Rhinolophus ferrumequinum: one gene and its partner. The protein of the gene in region 1 interacts with the protein of each later gene in a biochemical or structural test. Links are inferred from orthologs where the notes say so. Each region holds a gene or a part of one and is shown in the gene's direction. Other genes may lie near its edges.

What was found. The genes of interacting proteins can lie anywhere in the genome.
Region 2: the proteins of CSTA (region 1) and cathepsin L1 form a complex in vitro, tested with the Homo sapiens proteins (2 studies listed by BioGRID). The link is inferred for Rhinolophus ferrumequinum from reciprocal best matches to the Homo sapiens genes CSTA and CTSL.

What each region holds. Positions count from the first base shown.
Region 1 is NC_046285.1:47,138,789-47,147,165, forward strand, and holds the start of CSTA (cystatin-A), read left to right. Parts: upstream 1-4,979; 5' UTR 4,980-5,059; coding exon 5,060-5,125; intron 5,126-8,377. UniProt on the Homo sapiens protein: This is an intracellular thiol proteinase inhibitor. Has an important role in desmosome-mediated cell-cell adhesion in the lower levels of the epidermis.
Region 2 is NC_046295.1:6,969,243-6,977,843, forward strand, and holds the start of cathepsin L1, read left to right. Parts: upstream 1-5,424; 5' UTR 5,425-5,576; intron 5,577-6,015; 5' UTR 6,016-6,026; coding exon 6,027-6,152; exon of another isoform or gene 6,153-6,266; coding exon of another isoform or gene 6,267-6,269; intron 6,270-6,452; coding exon 6,453-6,575; intron 6,576-6,671; coding exon 6,672-6,818; intron 6,819-7,004; coding exon 7,005-7,229; intron 7,230-7,664; coding exon 7,665-7,827; intron 7,828-8,469; coding exon 8,470-8,587; intron 8,588-8,601. UniProt on the Homo sapiens protein: Thiol protease important for the overall degradation of proteins in lysosomes. Plays a critical for normal cellular functions such as general protein turnover, antigen processing and bone remodeling.

The sequences.
Region 1 (8,377 bases):
TGTTATAACATAACATTTCTGCTGAGATGTGATGGAAAGGACTCAGTGAAGAACCTGGGAAAGAGCATTGCAAACTCAAGAACATCAAGGGCCCAGAGGCAGAGGTGGGGAGAAGCTTGGCATGTTCTGGGAACCAAATGAGACCAGGGCATCCAGAGAGCATTAAGGGGGAAAGTGTCATGAAGTGAGGTTAGAGAGTTAGGCAAAAACTGAGTTATGCAAGGCCTACTGGTCCATGGTGAGGGGTTTAGATTTCTTGGTTTTTTTTCTTAATCCAGTGGGAAGATATTAAAGGAATTTATCCAGGGGAGTGACACCATCTAATCTGTGTTTACAAAAGACCGCTCTGATTATTTTGTGGGGAACAAACAGCACATAGTATTTTTGTGCAAGAATTTTTCTGTGTAGAATTTTCTGATGGATTGGGTATGGAGATAAGGAAATCGGCCGTGACTTCATGGCTTCTGCCCTGAGCAGCTGGGTGGGTGGCAGTGTCTTCCTGGAAGGCAGGAGACTTAAGGAGGAGGACTTATTTGCAATGCAGGGTGACGTCTATGCTACAGCTATGACAAAACACAGAAAATTATTCACAGCCAAAGCCAGATGTTGATGACCTCAGACCTAAATCACTCCAGCAGCCTCCTGACTACAAAGCGTGCTAGCCTAACCTCCTGCCTTTCCCCGCCGTGGTCCTCCATGATTTTTAGTTTTATGTTTTTATTGTATCACAATAAAAACATACACACACGCATAAAATGTGTAATTTTATTCATTTTAGGTGTACAGTGGTATTCAGCACATTCACATTGCTGCACAGTCGATTTTTATTTTTTAATATTTTATTGTTCTCATTCACCTCTCTTCCCCCTGCCAATCTCAGGAAAAAGGCTGCCTTGTAGCTTACCCCACTTATTGATTCGCTTCCTTGTATGACAAACTACAGAGAAACAAAAGCTGATATGGAAAGTTTGTCAAAGAGGCGGTTACAACTTTTACCCACAGAGTGTAAAAGGAATAACTAGATCCTTATGGTGTATAAGGAAGAAGTTTATAACAGCAAATCATTTTAAGATAGCAGTTATTATAATTCAATTGAGTTTAACATATTTTATAATTTTAAACATTTTATTGGAACAGTAATAATTTACCACATCCATAGCCAGTGTAAGAAATTTAAAAAGTTCCAGTTAACCAGGCTTTTTTTAATAAAGCAACTAGTTATTTTATGAGAAAATAAGTAGGTTTCCATAACAAACCTTTATGGAAAGGTTTCCATAACAAACCATTAAAGTTCATCAAAAAATTGCTTAAGTATTTTACCAGGAAAGCTAATTTCTTCTTAGAAACAGATGAATTATATCATACAAAAAGGTTCTGTTTTAGACCATATTTGAAAAAAAATTATATTTTATGGTAGGTAACATCTGACTCTCATGGGAGAGATTCTTGTGCTTCTTAGTAACAAGACAAAATTTTTAATTATTGATAACATACTACGATGACATTGACTCAAGCAAGACTTTCGTCTACCCAACATTGTTTTCTGGTGTGTGCCCCAAAGATCACTGGTGTGTTCATGTTCTCCAGCCTTCTCTCCTTCCTTATCTTTACATCCTCATCTTTACTGAGTGTAGCATTTTTTATTTCATAAGACTTTTTATGAAATATGATTGAAAGGTAAATTTCTGTAACTAAGGCCACTGGAATAGCAAGGCTCATTATTTCTGATTTTCACATTATATTCGTAAAGCCTTGATTAAATTGTTTTGCTAAGATCTTCATTTGCCCCAGGATTTGCCTGGAAAGAAGAGAGGTGGTTTTCTCTTCCCAGTTATATCTTTATATTTTCAATATTGACAATTTGCTTAAACATGCTCTTCCTCCTGTATTCCCAAGTTCTATTAATAGTACAATTATTTTCCTGGACATCCAAACAAAAGCTCCATCATCCACCTGGCTCCTTTTATCTTGTCCTTCCCTACCTCCTAATACTATTTTTATAAGTTGTCATATCCATCCCATTCCTCTCTAATCCATCTGACACAACACTAGATCAGGATTCACTTTTCGTTGTTCCATTGTGATAACTTCTAATCAATCTTTCTGTCTCCAGCATCTGTCCCTCCAATTCAACCTACACATTGCTTCTAGTTTTATCTTCCTAAAGCACAAGAGGTTTCTGTACAGTTCAAAAATGTTAGTGACCTCTGTTACCCGACAAGTAAAGTATAAAATATTTCGCCTGCTTTCCATGACCCATTCATTTTCAATGAACCTTACCTCCTACTTTTCCCTCACCCTAAGGATGACCAGGAGGAGAAACTTTGTCCTCCCTTTGGACACACACTTCAAGTGGGGGCTTTGCAACCTCCTTTAAGGCAATATGTTAATACAGTGGTAGTTAAGACTCTAATGGAAAAACATCAGAGAAAGCAGTATAAAAGCAAGACCAAGGGACATAAAGAAGGTATTTAAAAGATGGTGCTTTTTTATCCCAGCTTTTTAGGGGTATAACATATACAGTAAAGTCCACTCATTTTATGTGTACAATTTGATGAACTTTGGTAACTATATACTTAAATTCATGGTAGTCGTGTAACCACTATCATAATCTAGATAAAGAACTAAATGTTCCATATCCCTAAAATATTTCCTTGTGTCCCTTTTGCAGTTGATCCTTTCACCCACCCACCCACAGCCCCAGGCAATCTCTGCTCTGTTTTTTATCACTATAATTATGTCTCTTCCAGGGTTTCATATAAATGGAATACTGTAGTACATAGTCTTTTATGTTTGACCTTTTTTACTTGATGCCTTTTTACTTTGACTTGTTTTTGAGTCAAAGTTATGATGCTATTGAATGTATTACCACTTTGTTCTTTTTTATTGTTGAGTAGTACTCAACATTATGTTGAGTATTATATATAATGTTTTTAATCTATTCATCAGTTGGTGGACATTTGGTTCATTTTCAGTTTTAGGCTATTATGAATTATACTGCTATAAATATTTGTACACAAGTCTTTGTGTGGACATATATTTTCACTTTCTTTAGGTAAATTCCTGTAGGGTATATAGTGAGTCTAGCTATACATTAGTCCAAGGCACGGGTGGAAGCATAGGTAGCTAGAGAAGTCCACAGCCCCAAGCCTGTGCCAAAAGCTGGAGATAAGCTCAAATTCTCAGTATTTTCCTGATTCCAGAGCCCTAAGCCAACAGTAAAATAACACCTAGTTTGGGACCTGTGTACCCCATAGGGTCCAGTAAAGACATTTACCCCAGAAGAAAGCCCATAACCCAGCCCCCCAAGAGGGAAATTTCCCATAGAAGATAATTCCTGTGGAAGATGAGCTCACAGACAAGAAATACAAAACATATAAGAATGTTGAGTTCCATGAAAATAACCTGAATAACTAATACCAAAAAATACCCAACAAAAGTCAATAGAGCAATCTTAAAGTTACTTAAAAATAAATGTGTATTTAATTAATTGTGTGTTTATTAATTAAACAATTAACACAGAGATATCAGTTGTTGTGCTTTTCTTTTCTGCACGTCTTGTATGTGACTCTTCTTGTGAGTCAGAGGCATCTGCCCTACCGTGAGAAGAACTAGAATATTATAGTAGGAATGCAAAGACAAAAGCAATATTTGCTTTGTGGCATTTTTTGCTTTTAAAAGAAATGACTGAGCATCAAGACAGAATACCTGAGAGTAACAGGGCATAGACTTTAGAAAAAGAATAGAAGAAATGCTCCTTACCCTATGTCTGACCCCCAGGGAGATTAGGTAAGGATCACCTGGACTAGATGGCGAACAGAGAAATGGGCTGGATATGAGAAGACCTGACTTAAGAAATTCACAGGAAGATGTCAAGAATTATCTGTGGCCAGAGCTGAGCCAAAGTCTTAAGACAAATTGTGACCAGTTGGGTGAACACCGTGTCATCTATATTTGCTATTCTTCTCAGTTCATGGGTGAAGGCATTCCATGGACAGCCATCTGCATAGCACCCCCTAAATTACCCAGCAAGACACCTGCCTATCTCCAAGAATTTGTCAAGCACCTGCCAAATATTACAAAGAATGGAGCACCTTGCTAAGTAATAATATAGAATAATCTCCAAAATACATCGTTAGGAGTATAGCAAAGTATATGATAGTTTATATAGTAGGGTACCATTTGTGCCATTTATAAAAGAAAAGTATAAAAAAGAAAAAGAAAAAGAAAAAGAAAAGTAGAAAAAAAAGTATAATATAGAATATATGCTTGGCATACAATTTAGGTAGATTTTTAAAAACACACTAAATAAAAGTATAAAAATGGGTTAGAAGGACATGAAACTCACAAATGCAGTTTCCCTCTGTGGAGGACCAAGTCAGAGGTGGGGCTTGGGGGCGGCCTGTAATATTTTATTTGTTAAAAACAACTACAAAAAAAAAAGATAAAAAGCAAATATGTTAAAAGTTTTAATTCTGGGTGATAGGAATATAAGTGTTTGTTATTTTATTCTGCGTATTTTCCTGTATTTTAAACAGTTCTAGAAATATAAACAAAAAACACCAATACCCAGCACAATTCTCCAGATAGATCCTTTTACATTCTTTATAGTCAAGTAAATTCTAAACAATCAACCTTGACATTATTAATAAATACTCCTTTTAAAAAATAAAATTTTGTCTGAGAGGTTTTAAAACACTGGGAAACTGGCCGTGGCTTTAGATTTCACACTTCAGATGCAACAGGATGGAACCATTGTCAAAGGGAACGAAGGGAAGTTTGATACTTGCTCCTGTTTGACTCCTAGTGCAGACCCAGTTGTTCATTTCCAGCCCCTCATTCCTCCAAATTCCTGTTAGCTATTCTGTTGAGGACGCAGGAAGACTTACCTCAGAGCATACTCATCTGTCCCTGTGCCTTTTTGCCCTCTGTGAAAAATAAAACCTTCTTTTTGTAGGCGGAGCTTGTGAGCAACACCCTCTTTAAAAACCAGAGTCTCCACGCTAACCTGATCACTTCAGTTCCAGTATCCTGCCCAGCAAAGGAGCAATTAGCCAAAATGATGCCTGGAGGTTTAACTGAAGCCAAACCTGCCACTCCAGAAATCCAGGAGATTGCTAATGAGGTGAGCTAATGCACCCCACGGAAAGGTTTGATCCAAAATTTGAGTTCCTGGGTTGGTCCTGTGCTAAGTGTGTGGGTGAACATGAAAACCAAAACACTGGGAAATGTGTGGTATTGTTCAGACTTTCTTACAACTTAGTCTTTTGAGATGAAAACTCTAATAACCCCAACTGTGAGAGTGAACTTGAGCCAAGTCCCATCCCTCCTCTGTGCTTTAGTTTCCCCATTGGTAAAAGAAGGATTTTTATTGGATCATCTCTAAAGCTTTTACAATGTGTGATGTTAGGATTACTAATTCAGTTTCTGATGAAACTTCTAATCTCACCAAGTAGAACCAACATGTAATTAAAGTCTGAGGTTAACAATTGAACGAGTTAGACTTCAAATGCAGTGCTGGGAAATTTTTTAAATGGGTTGAATGAAGAACAACATTGCAAAGCCAATGCCCTTACAACTTCCTACAAATTTGACTAAATAGACAATGTTTCAGTCTTTCAGTATGTAGAAGATGATTAAACTAGTATAAAAGAGAAGTGGAATAGTCTATGACAACTCCAAAATTGATTATGGTGGAAATGACTCTTAATGTTTTTAGCAAGTTGATACATTTTTTAATGTGTTGTTTGATTAGCTATCACCTATATAATAAAAATATATTATATTGCATATTTAATGAAAAGAAAATACATATAAATTACTATCTTAGGTTTGTATCATTCTCTAGTTTCTTGTATCAATCCTTCTTGCTATTTCTTGCTGAAACTTCATTCTATGACACTGTTTGCAACCAAGATCAGCTTCTTATGGGAGTGGAAGAGATGAGATGCTTCACGTTCGGTCGCCGGAAAGCTTTCTAAGAGATCAGATGTCTGGAATTCTACCACTCATTCTTTGGGGCTAAATATTTCCCTTCCAAGAGTCCTTTTAAAAAAGAAATACCTTAGAGTTTTTCATTTGTTTGCTTTTTGTGGTTTAGTCTTGTGGAAGATAATACTGACTTACTCATACCTTCCTTTGAAGGCCTATAGAGGGTCAGTGTTCTTAAACTTGAATGTGAACGCGAATCACGCCTGTTAAAGTGCTGATTCTGACTCAGTAGGGCTGGGGTGGGCCTGATACTCTGCATTTCCAACCTGTTCTCAGGTGAGGCCCATGCTGCTTGTCCATGACCTCACTGACCTTCAGAACCAGAGAAATGTGATATCCTAAGAGGACTGTAGCGATGGGCTTTCTAAACTCAGAGTGCTGCAAAACAAATTCTCAATTTCATTTGAGCAACCAAGATAACACCTCTTGTCCTATGGATCTCAGAACTGTAAGGACTAAATGAGATAGATCATTTGCATAGAGATGACTTGAAAACAAGAAAGAAATACGCATTGGTGAGGCATCACAATTCCTTATTTCACATTTTTGCCTGAAATCATCCCTGATCCTAGAAAATACTCCTGAGACTCTCCAGGGACCAGAGCTGTAAGGGGGATGGGAAATAACAGATTTGAAATATACAAGTACAGAAATTTTTAATGATTTTTTAAAAGCCTATCTTGGTGAGCAAGAATTTTTTTTAATACTAAGAAGTTACCAAAAGGCCTTGTGTTTGTAATACCACCCATCTGTGAGCCATATATTATATTATAAATTCATTTGAATGTGTGTTTTTTGCTGCTTACCTCAGGCTCCAACCTGAGAAATGAATATCAATGAATCCTTCCTTAAATATCTCTTAGGTGTCCCGCAATGTATTCAATGTTATAGAAGATACATAAAGACTGTAAGATGTGGTCCCTGCCTTCAAGGAGTATACTGCCCATGTAGGGAAGTCAAGATATCTGGAACATATAAAACCATCTCCAATTAAGTACTTTTTCATAATCATAGGCCTTGGACCAGGAAGGACTTCAGAGTTTGCTTATCAAACCCCTTATTTTCAGGTGAATAATTACTGTGTTCAGCTTCTCCAGTGTTAAACTCCTAATTATCATTTACCTTCCCTCTCTCACAGGAGACAGCCTTAGGGAACAATTCTCAGTTAAGTGTTGGAAGATAGAGGAATAGTCAATCTAGGAAGCACTTTATAGTTTAGGAAGCACTTTCACATCAATTATATCATTTATTCCCCCACAAACAACCCTAAGAGGCAGGTATTACTATAACCACTTTTAGGTATGGAAATTTGATCAACACCTTCTCCAAGATTACAGAATTAGGTCCCCCGGCAGGGCCAGACACATGGGTAGGTGTTGGTAATCACATATCTAGTATGATTTGAGAGAGTCCCAGGAAAGACCACCATCACCTGTCATTTACCTGACAGTTTCAGTCCTTTGATTTTTTAATATATTTCTATTTGAAAAATCACTCTCTAAAATACAGGTACTTTTGGAGAAGCTGATGTTTAGCTTTCCTTGTCTTTATCAGAGCTTCTTAGTGAAATGCCAATGGAAGGAAAAGCCCCATTAGGCAGGGAGGGGAGGGGGAAGTTATCACATAGAGGGGGGCAGCATCGAAGGAAAATTATAACTGTAGGAATTTGACGTCAAAATGAAAGAAGAATGTTGGATGAGGTCAGAAAGAGAAGATCAAACAAAGAGCTTGCGTTTAAAATGACTTGAACATTTTGAAGAGAGAAGAAAAGAGTTTCCCTGTCCTAAAAATAACAGAGACTGGATGGTAATTGTGGAATCATGTACGAAGGGATGCTAACGGGACTTGGGTCCAGAGTACACCTGAAAGAAACCTCCTCTTCCAAGATTCTCTGTATTAGTCGAGCGTCTTTGCTATACCTCTCGTCGATCCTCTTTCCTATTTGGGGAGACAACTTGTCATGAATCTCTTCGTTCAGAAAACATTGATTATGTAAACAGTACCATGTGAATTGCTATAGGAAGGGAAAGGATATAAAGATAGTCTCTGCCATTACGGAAATTGACAAAATAGATTGGAAGTAAGAGATACACACAAGGAAATAAAGAGCCATACATGACCCCATACATGAAAAGCCATAATACATATAATTAAGGACCAAATGAATGGCCCTACCAGCAAAAGCTTCTGGACCATTATTGCTGATCCATTATCTTATATCAAATGTAAAAAAGACATTGGATGAGAATTCTGACTATGTTTATATACAGGAAAGAAATGTTATTCCAATAATTATTTTTAGAAGTAAGGGCTATTATTACACATGCACAGGTGCATACACATAAAATAAACACACACACACACACACCTAAGTCCAACCCAATTA
Region 2 (8,601 bases), on another chromosome or scaffold:
TGCCTCCGCATCTTCCCACCCCACCAGCTTCTAGCAGGGTGTTTTGCTCTGTGCCTCCTGGGTGTTTCCTTGCTTGATCATTTCTCAGATATGAAAGCTCTGTACCTTATCTAGGATAATTAAAGGTCCCGTTTGTAAGCCTCGCTCCAATGACAGTGCCTCAGTGACAATCTCAGGTATTAAGACATATGAGATTCATTCATGTATGAATTCTAAAGACACACATAAAATATCCCTTTAAAAATTTTGAGTCCCTATTTCCTACATGATCACCTCAAAAACCAAAACCAAGGAAATCCTCTCAGATTAAACTTTGGAATTTTACTGACTCCAATTTGGTGGTTTATGATTTTTTTTTCCTTATGTCCTCTATGTCCCCATAATCCCCAGTGGTTGCTGCCTCCCTACCTTGGTTAATTGTCCTCAAAGCAGACCTGGAGCTGCGGTCTTGGGCACATCTAAACCTTATCCTCAAATCCACAGGAACCACTGAGAAACCCAGCCTCCACTTTGGAGAACTAACCCGCCCTCTGAATAAGGAATCTGATCTCTCTTCAGCGTCACTGCTAACATGGCCTGATGAAATAGCATGTAAGAGCTCAGTATAGAACACAGTTCTGACCCACGGAAGCAACAACACTTCCCTTAAATGATTTTATTAGTAACAGCATCCTGCGCCCAGATGGTGTTCTCCCTCTCCAGGGGGAGAAGTCAAGTGGATGGCAGACCGCACAGGTCAGATTTGCAGAAGAGATCCTCTGGCCTCCAAAGGAGAATTTATGGATTACCGACCTGGGGATGGGGATGAGAGGGCGGGAAGAAGTGCTACAGGTCACCTCCCTGGTTACCTCCTGCTCCAAGACACTTGTCATGATTTCGTTGACATACATCCATCATGTTCTGTGCCCATTGCTGTAAAATCAAGATTACTGCAGTAACCTTAGTTTTTTTTTTTTTTTTTTTTTAAGATTTTATTGGGGAAGGGGAACAGGACTTTTACTGGGGACAGTGTGTACTTCCAGGGCTTTTCCAGGTCAAGTTGTTGTCCTTTCAATCTTAGTTGTGAAGGGTGCAGCTCAAGATTTTTTAATGAAAAGGTTAAGCTTGAGAAAGGGACTTGTAAATTGTTTCTAAAGAAATGCTGAAAAAACACCAAGCAGAGGACAATGAGCACAAGACCAGAGCTTAATTAGTTCTTGTTGATTGATTTACTTAATGAATTAGCTGACTGTTCAGCCCTAAAGGAAAATCAGGGTTATAGAATCATACAAAAGTAATTTATTTCATAAGCGGCTTCATACAAACATCAAGGTTCTTTTCCATGAAATTGTAAATGGTAATGGTTCAAAAAAAAAAAAAAAACAACCCCTGCTCGCCACTAGAAAGGCAATACTCTAGAGACAAGTGTCAGTGGAAAGGAAAGCTTGCTTTATTCAGGAAACCAGCAGCCTGGGAAGACAGCAGACTTCTGTCCTAAGAGTATCTCTGAAGTTGCAGAACAAGCAGAGGAGTTTAAAAGGAAAGGGGGAGAAGGGAGTTTCAGAGAACTGAGAAAGAAGGCTGTTTCTTTAGTCATAGATGACGATTTTCCACATCAGACCCCTGGGCGCTTGCAGCTGGTCACAGCTACCTTGGAGACGTTCCCTCCTTCTGCAAAACAAACTAATAAATTCTCCTCGAGACCCTGAAGTTATTTCCTCCTGCTTGACAAAGAAACAACACATCAGCAACACAAAATTATACTGTGAGAACAAGAGAAGCTGAGCAAGAAGAGCAGTTAGCCTGTGAACAAAGGTCTAATTGAGAATCAAATTATTTAATTCTATTATAGATGCCAAAATACCAGAGGCATTAAAATTACAAGGGGCTCGTTATAGTAATAAACTACAAATGAGTAACTTTTTAAAAGAGTAATTCCTAGCTCGCTGAATTTAAACAAATTGGAGGGGGTTGTCATATTAGGGAGAGGTAAATGGCCTCGGGGTCTTGAATACCACCACGCTAATTTGTTCATTCCCCTATGGCTTGAAACTTCGAGATGGGGTAAAGAATTACATCCTGTTTTACTAGTGAGCAAAAGAAATCCAGACAGATGCACACAAGAATATGCTTTCACAGATGCTGTATTTTAAATAGGAATTGGGAAATCTGCCAACTGCATTTTAGCAAAAGGCAGAGCTGAGGATTGGTCACTTGCATAAAATGTAACCATTTTAAGAATTAGCACTTACCCAGATTGTCTGGCAAAGAAATGGAGACAGGAGATTAGGAATAAGAACAAAATGGTTAGCTATGCCGTCTTTCTGTAATTCATCATTTAACAGATTTTGTACAAATAGATGTTACAGTTTCTTGCTTAAATGGCCTTCTCCCATATTTCTCTGGCACTTAGATATGTCTTGGTCTCATTCCAGATTTGGGGCACATTTGGTAGAAAAGGAGTCCATGCTTTCTCTCCAGTGTATCGTACCACATCCCAAGAAACAAAGGGGATGCTGATGTAGGAGGTTTTTATTGTGAGTGCTGGGAGCATGTCTCGGGAGACCGAAGAATGGAAACACGAACCAAGGAGAGGTGAGGAGTTTTAAAAAGAGAGTAGTTTATTAAAAGCAAAGGGTCAGAGCTCCCGAGCAAGCGGGAGGGGGTCCCGAATGGGGTGCCCAGTGACTGCGGCAAAAGCTCTTACTTTTATACCTTCCCCTGCCTGCTTGGGGAAGGGGAGCTGGTGCCTTTTAATGGAAGTCATCTATCACGTTTGTCCTGTTAGCCCGTCCTGAAGGGATTAGCAAAATAACCCATTCCTATCTATCAAATCTGCTCTGTTTGCCAGGCCAAAAGGGATTTATGAGATAATTTATTAACCTCAAGGCGCTGTTTTATTTTGTCCTGGAGTGAAGGAGTTATCTCAGAACCTGAAGTTTCAGGATATGGCTGTCTTTGTTTATTCCACTAGGGACTTTCTTGTCTGCCTAACAACATGCTAATTAACCTGTCTCAATGCCATTGTTTGGAGCAGGACCTGCCACACAGCCTCCTGTGAGGCTATTGCCTAAAGTGCAGGCAGTCATGCCGTGGCAGGTTTTCCACCGTGTGCAATCTTGTGGAGCTGTGACCCAAGGGCAACTGAAAAACCATATATTAGAATATGGACTGAGGTTTTTTTCAATGATTGATTGTGTTGGTATATTTTTTAAAAATTTTAGACCTCCAGTCATTTACAATACGACATACATTTGTAACCAGCTAAGAGCTTCAGCCTCTAGTCATGTTTGAGAAAGAAGAGCTTTGATTTCCTCAAAGACTTTAAAATGAATTTTTTAATGGATTGATTTTGTTAAAATTGTATGGGATTGCCAGAACTATTCAATAGGGAAAATATGATCGTTTCAACAAACGATGCAGGAAAAATGGAATGTCCACATGCAAAAGACTTAAGTTGGACCCTTACCTTATACCATATATAATAAATTTTTAGGTGAAAACACAAAGGAATAGCCTCATGATATTGAACTTAATAATAACTTTTTGGTTATGACACCAAAAGAACAGGCAACCAAAGAAAAAATAGATAAAACAAACTTTATCAAAATTAAAAACTTTGTATATCAAAGGACGCTATAGACTTAATGACAGGCAACTCACAGAATTCGAGAAAATGTTTGCTAATCATGTTATATTGGAACCCTCCCTGTGCAATGCTGATAGAAATGTAAAACGGTCCAGCCACCACGGTTAACAGAAAAAAATTAAACATAAACTTATCATATCCAGCAAATCCATTTCTGGTTATATACCCTAAGAACTGAAAACAGGAATTCAAACATTTGTACAACTATGTGGACAGCAACATTATTCAAAACAGGCAAATGTGTAAATAACCCATATGTCTATCCAGGGATGACTGAAGAAACAAAATTGGGTACATTCACACAATGGAGTATTACTCACCTTTTTAAAACAGGAAATTCTCATGCGTTATACCATGGACGAACCTTGAAGATGGTATCTTAAGTGAAATAACCAGGTGCAAAAGGGCAAACATTGCATGATTCTACTTAATGTGAGGCAGCTAGAGTAGTTAAATTCATAGATAGAGAAGATAGAATAGTGGTTGCCAGGGGGTGGGGGAAGGGAGGAATGCATTGTTATTGTGTAATAGACACAGAGTTTTAGTGGGAAGATGAAAAAGTTCTGAAGATGGATGGTGGTGATGGTTGTGCAACAATGTGAATGGTCTTGATGCCACTAATTGTACACTTAAAAATCATTAAAATACACATCTTTGTATTATGTATATGTCACCACAGGAAAACAACAACAACAACAACTATGCAACTGATAGCGCTTCTAGAAGGTTTATCATTTTAATCCTAAATAGAAATTAGTTTACAAGTCCACATGAAACATGACACATTTTTATCAAAAGACTTCAAAATATGCATGGAAAAAGGTGAAATGGTAAGGGAAATGAGGTAATGATATTTTTTCTAGAAGGTATTTTCAGCAATGAATATTTTTTTGTAATAAAAGGACCAACATACAATGTTTCTGGTTTGTGTTCCTTAAATTCTTATGTATATTAATATTTAATATATAAATATATTTTTCCTCCATTTAAAGCGTTTTCACAAACTGTCACTTAAATCCTGACATCACCTGTAAAAATCATTGAAGCAAAAGTCATCAAAATAAATTTCTTAAATTAAATCTCAAGAAAAGCACATTGGATATTGACGAAGACAACAATCCATGAAGCAGAGAGGGAGGAGGTAAAAGCAGTTTCTACTTTCAGCCAATACCATTTCAACATTTTTTCTGTAAATAACTTACTTCTGTTGGTTTTGAGACAGGCTTGAGAGGGAAGAAAAATCCCTGAATCCCCGAGTGTGGAAGACAGGACAGGGGCATTACAAAATGCCACGCCTTCTGTGGAGAACCACCAGTCCTCCCCTTTCCTTGCCACGATTAGGGCATGCTTTGGGCATTGCCATTCCATTCCAAATCCTTCCAAAACCCAGATGCACCCATCCCGAAACAATAAGGACACATCTGCCTGTAGGCTCTGAATTCTTCCACTTCGTTCCACATTTACTGTGGAATAAACAGGAACAACTAGAGTAGATTATCGTGTTCTCAGCCCTCTTGACAGTTTAACCAAAAATTCTGGACTAAAGTGCAGACAGGCTCACGCTGAAAATCCACTTGGGGCTCCCTGTAAGCTTCTTTTCGTGAGCCACCCACCAAAGATATGAATTAGAGGTAATTCGTTGATCCGGGTCCCAGGGAGGCACGGGAACCCTCTCAGCGCTGTCCCAGGGCCCCCAGCTCGCCTCCCCCAGGGTCCAACTTGCTCTTGGACAAGTTGGGACCCAGCCTGGTCACGCGCCCCGAGTCTCAGCACCCGAAGGCCCCGCCCACAGTCCGGCTCAGCTAATCTCGGGGCGGGCAGGCCGTGGGGGCCGGGCCGACTGGTTGAATACTAGGTCCTTATATCGTCGGTCTGGGGGCCATACTCCGGCCTGAGACTCCTGGAACAGCACGTACTGACAGCCCTTGGGCAGCTGCTCCCTCAGCAGGTGAGCGTCCCCCCCCCCCCTGCTCCCGCCCCGGCCTCAGCCTGGAGTGGCGGGACTATTTCGAGAACCAGGGCGGCTGACACCTTGGGGATCGAAGGTTCAGGGGGTCCCAGGAGTCGATGTCGATGTCCGCTGTGCTGTGGGGGCCGCCGCTCCCTGTCCACGACAACATCCTCTGCAAGCGACTGGCTTGTGCTGGAGAGTTGGGAGCAGATGGCACGCCCCCTGCCGGGTTCGGTCGGCCCTGAGTTGGTTCTCACATCTGGAGGGCCTGGCCCTGTCTGGGCTCTGGAATGGGGTCTCAGGGCCGTTTTCTCCACCCACAGCCTTATCCTTCCTCCACAGTCCTTGTGTAATTACTTGGGAGAATAAATTAAATGTTTTTACTCCATCGTGGTGGACTGGTCTAATCAGAGACTCATTCCTTTGCTCTTCCTAGGTTTTTGAAACATGAATCCTTCAATCACCCTGAATCTCCTTTGCCTGGGAATAGCCTCAGCTGCTCCAAAAGCTGATCACAGTTTAGATGGACAATGGAACCAGTGGATGGCAACACATGGGAAACTATATAATGAGGTTGATAACGACTGAAACTGTCCAGAGGGACCCTGCAGAGAATGGTCCAAGCTGTTGGGAGTTTACAGCAGAGAGTAGCTTCTTGAGGCCAGCTCTTAACAAGGCAATATCTTCATGGTACCTACTGCTTAGAACAATAGGGCATTCATCCCTATTTTGTGGGTGCTGGAGAACAACTCCCAGAAGTATAAAGCCAGCCCCGGCCATAGTTTCTGTTCCTCTCTCTCTGCAAATCCACTTGGTGAAGGTGAGTTGATTCTGAATAGAAATAAAGACAATACGGTATATGTTTGCCTCTAGAATGAAGAAGGATGGAGGAGAGCAGTGTGGGAGAAGAATATGAAAATGATTGAACTGCACAATCAGGAATACAGCCAAGGGAAACAAAGCTTCACCATGGCAATGAATGCCTTTGGTGACATGGTAAGCATAGAAGGCTTACCGTTTCGTGCTTCTGCTCCTCACTGATTTACCAAAATAATCTCTTCCTTTATAACATTTATTTCCTTTTCCTTGAAGACCAGTGAAGAATTCAGGCAGGTGATGAATGGCCTTCAATACCAGAAGCACAGGAAGGGGAAAGTATTCCGAGAACCTCCCTTGGCTGAGATCCCCCCTTCTGTGGATTGGAGAGAGAAGGGCTATGTAACTCCTGTGAAGGATCAGGTAGGACAGTGTGCAGCAGCTCTCTCTCCTAGAGCAAAACCATAAAGGAGTTAGTGTCCTTGATATGGTGGACTGGGGAACAACATGCAGTTTGCTATTTTTTAAAAGAGCTTTCAGATATATCAGCTGTTGTCAACATCTTGCTATTTGTTTTGTAGACAGAGCACTTTAAAATTGTGTTTTCAGGGTCAGTGTGGTTCTTGTTGGGCTTTTAGTGCAACTGGTGCCCTTGAAGGACAGATGTTCCGGAAAACTGGCAAACTTGTTTCGCTGAGTGAGCAGAACCTGGTGGACTGCTCTCGGTCTCAAGGCAATGAGGGCTGCGATGGTGGCCTAATGGACAATGCCTTCCAGTATGTCAAGGAAAACAGAGGCCTGGACTCAGAGGAATCCTACCCATATCATGCAAAGGTAAAAGGCGCTTCATATCTTGTTATCATACCAGCTCTGCTTTTGAGTGTTGAACACTTTAGAGAAAACAGATAACGTATTTATAATTCACATTTTAGATTGTAGAATCTATATGTGCAAACGGTCAGAACTGCACAGTTCTCTGTTTAGATGGTTACCATATGTCTGCTCCTACCTCTGTGTTACATGGAGATATATATACCATTCTATGTATAGTATTTCTAAAGAGGGAAAAAGGTCTATGGATAGATACGAGTAGACTGACTGTATCTCATTGAATAGACACCAGATAGTTTCAAAGGAACCAATAACATTGCACCTCCTGGAATGCTTTAGACAAACTTGACCTGGAAATCATTAAGCTACAAACTATGTTGAACTCATGTTCCCCAGGAGGTGGGTCAGAATAAAGTTTCTCGCTTTTACCTTTGAAAGGATGAATCCTGCAAATACAAGCCTGAGTTTTCTGCTGCGAATGACACTGGTTTCGTGGACATCCATAAGCGGGAGAAGGCCCTTATGAAGGCAGTGGCAAGTGTGGGACCCATCTCTGTTGGTATAGATGCAAGCTATAGCTCCTTCCAGTTTTATAAAAAAGGTAAGCGTTTTTCTTTGTACAAATTTAGGCAGAAAAATTAGAAAACCACCCTGACATACAGCAAAATTTTTTCTTTGGAATGGAGAATTCAATGTAGAATTTCTGGATGTGTGGATTTAACTAGCTGTATATTCCGTACATGTAATATTTGTGCCTGATGTTTCCATTTGACATTATTTAAGCACTTCATAAATATATTAAATGCCTTTATAATTCGATTGGTATAGCTTTACTTATTTTACTTTTTAAAAAACTGTTAGACCTTTAAAATTTTCAAATATTTTTACTACTGCAATTAAAACTGGAAAGAACCCTTGCTTCAAGTAACTTTGTGTTCTGTGCTGTTTCCTTAGACTGGCATACTAAAAGTAGAATGACAAGGTTTCAACAAATGGTTGTTTATGCCTCTTGATAAGTTATTTATAAAAATGATAGTGGCAATTTGTATTGCTGCTAGTAATATAGGAGGGCCAAAATCCTGAGCCTAGATTGTTTTTTAAAAAATCTTGTTTTTAAGTCTTATCTGGATGTCTGTCATCCAACTGAATTTTGAGATGCCTCCCTTACTGTGGTTGCTAAGCTGAGTTACTGTCATGTGTCACTTGGAGGGCATCACACCAGGACTGAACTTGACTTTCGCAGGCATTTATTATGAACCAAAATGCAGCAGTGAAGACCTGGATCATGGAGTACTGGTGGTTGGCTACGGCTTTGAAGGAGCAGAACTGGATAACAATAAATATTGGATTGTCAAGAACAGGTATAAAATACCAA